2 linked regions of the Cricetulus griseus genome follow. The protein of the gene in region 1 interacts with the protein of each later gene in a pairwise test. Links are inferred from orthologs where the notes say so. Each region holds a gene or a part of one and is shown on either strand. Other genes may lie near its edges.

Region 1 (4,238 bases):
GATTTTTTTTTTTTCCCTTCGAGACAGGGTTTCTCTGTGTAGCTTTGGAGCCTATCCTGGCACTTGCTCTGGAGACCAGGCTGGCCTCGAACTCACAGAGATCCTCCTGCCTCTGCCTACCGAGTGATGGGATTAAATTCTTGCACAGCACTGCTCAGAACCCATTTTCATCTAGGAGGTACTGTTCTAGGGCAGTACCTTTGTTCCAGGAAGAAGTTTCTAGAAAGACTAAGTGTCAGCTCCTCAAGGGTACTCACTAGAGTCTCTATCCTCTGTGGGAACAAAGTGTGGCCTCGGGATCCTGATCCCTCCAGTCTTGAGAAGCAGGAAGCCCTGGCTGGATCCAGTTGATGGATGGGAGTTCTGGGGGCCAGGTATGCGGAAGACCTAGCACCCTGAGATGCCAACAGAGGCTATCAGCAAGAGCTCAGAATTCCCCAAGTCCACCCCATCCTGACCTCACATCTTTCTCATTACCTTGCCCTTCTGGGTGGTGCCTCCCTTGCTCCCTCGAACTAGTACTCTCTGAGCCAGACTGGACTGGCGCCCCAGGGGACAGCTCTTCACCCCCTCACCTGACAGGATGGTGGCCAGGGCTGCAGGGTCAGCAACAAATTCTATAGCCCCTGAAGCCTCTGAAAGGAAAGGGATAGGATTAGAACGATAGGAATAGCAGAGGCTGAGGGGCAGAGGACTCTAGCAATAGTGAACAAAAGAAACATATCCAAGCCAGGCTTAGTGTACACACCTGTAATCTCAGATTTTAGTATACCAAGGCAGGAGAGCCAGGTGTTCAAGGCCAGCCTCCCCAGCATACAGGGCTAAAAGTCAGCCTTGAGAGATGGGGGAGAGTTGGGGGAACCTAGCTCATGTAAGAATTTCATGTAGGGGACTGGAGAGATGGCTCAGAGGTTAATAGCACCGACTGCTCTTCCGGAGGTCCTGAGTTCAATTCCCAGCAACCACATGGTGGCTCACAACCATCTGTTATGAGATCTGGTGCCCTCTGCTGGTGTGCAGATGTACATGGAAGCAGAATGTTGTATACATAAAAATTAAATAAAATCTTAAAAAAAGAAAAAGAATTTCATGTAAGCTATTACTCTTTGTCATACAGAAGATATCACTGAGGGCTGGAGACATGGCTTAGTGGTTACGAGTATGGGCAGCTCTTCCGGGAGGGTTCTATTTCTGGCACCCACATAGCAGTTCACAGCTGGCTATAACTTCAGCTCTAGGGTATCCAATGCTCTTTTCTGATCCCCATGGACACTGCATTCACACGGACTCACATAAAACAAAAATAAATCCTCTTTGTTTTGTTTTGTTTTTTCAAGACAGGGTTTGTCTGTGTAGCTTTGGAGCCTATCCTGGTACTTGCTTTGGAGACCGGGCTGGCCTTGAACTCACAGAGATCTGCCTGCCTCTGCCTCCCGAGTGCTCGGACTAAAGGCATGCACCACCAACGCCCAGCCAAAAATAAATCTTTTAAAAACATATCTGTTATTGAAAAGGAGGTTGTTCAAGCTATAGTATGGACCAATTAAAAAGAATCAGCACAACAATGAGGGAATGTCTGTGACTAGGTTGCTGAAAAGGCTTCCACACGGTCTCACTGTGGAGCTGTGGCTGGCCTGGAACTCACTTTGTAGACCAGGATGACCTGGAATTCACAGAGATCCATCTGTCTCTGCATCCGAGTGCTGGGATAAGGTATGCACCACCATGACAAGAAAGAGAAGACATTTTGTTGAAGTAAAGGGATGGCTTCTTAGTGCAAAGAGCTTTCAGGACAGAGTCTAGAACTCTTACAATATGCAAGGAACCAGAGGGTGTGCAACCCCTCCAAATCCCACTTGGCTTTTCCCATCCTCACTCAACCAAGTAGACTATTCCCAGGCTTCCAGCAGGTACCTGTCTGGGTGTGAGACACATGTTCCACATTTGCTCCCCCACAGCTAGGCTTGAGTTCCTCCAAAGGGTTCCGCAGCCGAGTGATCCCCAATTTCTGTGATTTCTCTGTGTGGTGCAGGGTTTTCGATCTGGGGGCTGCTGAGCCGATGAGCGGATGCGGAGTACTGACTTTCTGAGACAGTCTCTGAGGGGGAAGGGAACAAAAAGCTGGGAGTCGGTGCTGGGGAGCATTGCTGATGTAAGCTGCCTCCATGTCATTACTCTCTTTTTCAACCATCAAGCCCCTCTTACCCTTGGATCTTGGTTCTCCCGGTCCTGAGAGCACGACTTGACTGAAGAGAAATCTGGGCATCTTTGAGAGAGTACTGGAATCTTGCTAGGGGTGGGAGACACACCTCGGAGGAGGGGCTCCTTCCTAGTGTGGAGGGTAGTCATGGCGGCTATAATTGAGACGGGAGAAGAAGGCGGGAAGGCAGGACTGAGGACCAAAGCAAATCACTTAACAGGGCATGGGGCTGATAGCCCTGATTCTTCCACCTGGCTCCCAATCCATGTGCCTAGAGGCTCGCCCCGGCAGCAAGGCCGCTCTTCGGGCTGACTCCCCCAGACACCGCAAGCCTGCTCTCTCGCCTCGCAACGCCACACTGCTGTCCCTCCCTGGGAACCTCGACAGGACTCATCCCCTCCCAGAACCCATGCCGCACCTCTCCAGGAGCCCCTCGGGGTCACCTCTACCCTCTCAGCTTTTTCGCCGATTTTCTGGGTTTCTGCTGCTGCGGCTTCCCCAGTTTGTAAAATACGCCAACCCTGTGATTGGCTAGTTTCCGCTGACGCGAGCCGCGTGACATCACACCCAGCCATCCAATCCGCAAACGCCGAGGGCGGGGCCAGAGAAGGACAAGTTGTGGGACTGCTTTCTGGCCGGGGAAAAAACTGACCGGCTCTCACAGCCAATCCGAGAGCGGAGCGCGAGTGGCAGGATTGGGGGAAAGCCAGGGAGCATGCAGTGCTGATGCCCGGGAAGGCGAATCTGGGCTGCAACGGGCATTATCGTACTCTCGCGAGATCTGGGGCCAGCCGAGGGCCTGCACCCATTAAGGTCCGCGGAATTGTGGGAAGAGATGGCCGTCGAGAATCCCGATGACCACACTGCGAGCGTAGTGATGCAAGGCCGGTGCTATCCCGGGAAGCTTGGGCACGTCTTTCGGGAGACGGGAGAGCGGGCTGGAGGTAACTGAACTGAACCCGACAAGATCCAGGAGCCGAGAAGCGGTGTGTCCCCTCGGACCTCACGACTTGGCGGGGTGTGGACCCCATGGACGCAGTGTGGCTGGAGCTCTGTGGAGCGGCATTGAAGGGCTCCTCGTGTGGGGGGCCCCTCACCCTCAGTTGCCTTTCCCTGGGCTGGAGGGACAGCTCAGCGGCTACTCCTGGGTAGACAGGTGTGAGGCTGCAGTGTGGAGATGGGGAGACAGACCCCGGCTCACCCCAGTCTGCACACACTCTGTCCCAGACCGGCCTCACACTCGCAGCCTCCTGCTCCAGCTTCCCGTGTGTCAGCGTCGCACGCGCCCTGCGTGGACAGCCTTTGACCCATACACAAGCCAGGGACATGGGCGTTATTTGTTACCTGCTCCCGGACCTCCCCCTCCCATGCCCCATTTAAGCATTTTTAGAATTCAGCTGCTTACCCACCCATTCGAAGTGGACGAGCAGAGGCAGGCGGATCTCTGAGTTCCTAGGTCATCAAGTCAACTTGGAATCAGGCCAGTCACGATTAAATAATGAAATCCCGAATTTAAAAAGACTATCTTGGGGCTGGAGAGATGTCTCAGAGGTTAGGAGCACTCGCTGCCCTTCCAGAGGTTCTGAGTTCGATTCCCAGCAACCACATGGTGGCTCACAACCACCTGTAATGAGATCTGGTGCCCTCTACTGACCTGCAGGAATGTGCAGACAGAACACTGTATACATAATAAATAAATAAAATCTTGAAAAAAAGACTATCTTTACATATATGATAGTTATATAAAGAGATACAGAAAGAGATACAGGGGCTGGAGAGATGGCTCAGAGGTTAAGAGCACTCGCTGCTCTTCCAGAGGTCCTGAGTTCAATTCCCAGCAACCACATGGTGGCTCACAACCATCTGTAATGAAATATGGTGCCCTCTTCTGGCATGGAGGCAGAATGTTGTATACATAATAAGTAAATAAATAAATCTTAAAAAAAAAAAAGTAGTTCCAGGACAGCCTTCAAAGCCACAGAGAAACCCTGTCTGGAAAAAAAATTTTTTATTTGTGTTTTGTCTTCATCTCTGCATG
Region 2 (2,352 bases), on another chromosome or scaffold:
CCTTCCTGAGTTCCTTTGTCCTTCGTAGGGTCCAGCCGCCCCCAGGCAGCCGCTCAAAGTACTTGCGAGCCTTGGGTGCCTGTTCCAGCATGGGCGCGGGCGGGATGCCCAACACCTCGACAATGCGGCTCATCTGGTCCACCTGCGGGCAGGTGGCGGTCAGGGGCGCCGGGCGGCCAGGCTCCACCCCTCCACCTCCAGCACACCCCTTCCAGGGGCACACCTCATTGGAGCCGCTGAAGAGGGGCTCTCCGGTGTGCATCTCCACAAGGATGCAGCCCAGGGACCACATGTCGATGGCCAGGTCATAGGGTGTGCCCAGGAGCACCTCGGGGGAACGGTAGAAGCGGCTCTGGATGTACTGGTAGATCTGGGGAAGGGGACAGGAGTCAGGGCACTGGCTCCCCTGCTGGTTCCCCCGGGACACTCAACTGAAGACAAGCCCCTGCTCGAACACAGGATGGAGCCTCTAGATTCTCAGCAATGCTGCACAAACCAGTCGCTGTCCTGCTCATCAGCTTCCAGTCTTCATTGGCCTGCTTTAACCCTGCCTCTGCTCCCAGCTCTGGTCCCTGCTGTTTAGGAGAGGCTGGCCATCCCATACTGAACTACTACTAGTAGTGAGTGACCCCTCTGCCTGCTCACACAAGGCTGCACGAATTCAAGGTCTCTACCTGTGACCTGAAGAGCACAAGTCCGCAAAGCAGAGTTCAGGCTCTGCTCTGGGGGTCACCCTTTCTCTTCCTTGCTTGAGTCTCCTCTGCCCTCTTCATCTCTGCTCCCCTCCCTTCAGACCGGCCTCCCTATGCCCAATGTCATCTCTCAGCTTCTCATCAGCTTCCAGGGTCAAAACCAAGCTGTCCTATCCCATTCCACCCAAAACACGGGCCCTGCCCAGAGTCGGAGCCGCACCCGCTGGCCAAGCTGACAGGAGCTGCCAAAGTCCACGATCTTGATGGCACTGCGCTTAGGATTGCAGAGCAGGATGTTCTCGGGCTTGAGGTCGCAGTGGATGATGCTGAGCTCGGGCGTGGCCAGAAAGAGCAGCGCTGTGCAGAGCTGCTGCGCCAGCTTCCGGGTCAGGTTCAGAGAGACACCGCGGAAGTGTGTGTTGCGCAGGAGGTCGTACAGGTTGTAGGACAGCAGCTCAAACACCAGGCACAGATGATTTCGAAACATGAAGTGCCGCTTCAGGTGCACTGTGGGGGACAGCAGGCCACAGATGAGAAACAGGCGAGAGGACAGGCGGCCCAGGGCCACACGGTAACCGCCTCTGCTAAACTGCAGCGAGCCCTCAGGTGTCTGTGCATCGGACTCGCAAAGCATGCTAAATCTCTTGAGGCTCTCAGACCTTCCACTTGTCACCAAAAGGAAGGTTTCTGCCAGCGGGGAATAGTAAGCATGACTGTGTAATGCCAGCGCTTGGGAAGCTAAATGGGAAGATGACGAGTTCAGGGCCAGCTTGGTACACAGTGAAGCCAAAAAAAAAAAAACAAAACAAAGGGTAGAGTAACCTTAGGGTTACGCTGGCATAGGCTAAGGGATGGCCAAAGGGTGGGAGCCTGTTTGCCTAGCAAACACAAGGCTCTGGGTTCAAGCCTCAGCCCAGCATAGGGAAATAAAATGCAGTTATCTCCTAATAGAGCTTCAAAGCAATCCCAGGCTTCCTCATTTCATTCATAACACCGAGCCAGGCCTGGTGTGCGGGCATGAAGACCAAGGTCTTCAGATGGGGATGAGGAAGAGCATGAACCCAAGGCTTGTCAGGTAACTCTGTCTCAAAATACCTAAGTAAAAAGAGGTCCAGAGGCGCAGTTCTGGGGAGAAGCACTTGCCTACTATACATGAAGCACTGGGCTTGATCCCCAGTATGGCAAAACAAAACCCCAAGAAGTGGCACCACCAACAAAAACCCAAATGAACAAACGAATCTGCTTTCCTTTTAGCTGTATCTGTCTTTGTGGCAAGCGACACTGGCTGTCCTTTTAAGCCATTTGTCAGTCCCTTTCCAGAGGACACATCTCTAATTCTGTTCTGTATAAACTGTCCCCTCATGTACGTGACAGCACTGAGTGCCTCACTTTCCTATCTCTAACGTGCACAGAACTGCCCTCTCCCTCACTGGGCTGGCGTGAGGTAATTCACAGGAAATGTTTGCAGCAGTCTGGCCCTTAGCGAGCACTGGATAAACACTGACCACTGTTAAATAAGCACAGAAGAAGAGTCATGACCACAGCAGGAGACCCCCTGAGGCGGAGGAGCCTGAAGAGCCACCCTTATTGGCGCTATCTCCACACAGGCGCCCTGCGCTCACCCAGGGGCAGGCCTCACCTATGTAGTACTTCATCTCTG

Evidence for each region. The genes of interacting proteins can lie anywhere in the genome.
Region 2: the proteins of Troap (region 1) and Dyrk1b interact in binary tests that used the Homo sapiens proteins (3 or more experiments, as listed by UniProt). The link is inferred for Cricetulus griseus from reciprocal best matches to the Homo sapiens genes TROAP and DYRK1B.

Annotation. Positions count from the first base shown.
Region 1 is NC_048595.1:395,511,114-395,515,351, reverse strand, and holds the start of Troap (tastin), read right to left. Parts: upstream 2,801-4,238; 5' UTR 2,776-2,800; coding exon 2,619-2,775; intron 2,355-2,618; coding exon 2,206-2,354; intron 2,099-2,205; coding exon 1,915-2,098; intron 636-1,914; coding exon 478-635; intron 396-477; coding exon 258-395; intron 1-257. UniProt on the Homo sapiens protein: Could be involved with bystin and trophinin in a cell adhesion molecule complex that mediates an initial attachment of the blastocyst to uterine epithelial cells at the time of the embryo implantation.
Region 2 is NC_048602.1:7,915,076-7,917,427, forward strand, and holds part of Dyrk1b (dual specificity tyrosine-phosphorylation-regulated kinase 1B), read right to left. Parts: coding exon 2,332-2,352; intron 1,200-2,331; coding exon 913-1,199; intron 371-912; coding exon 224-370; intron 143-223; coding exon 2-142; intron 1-1.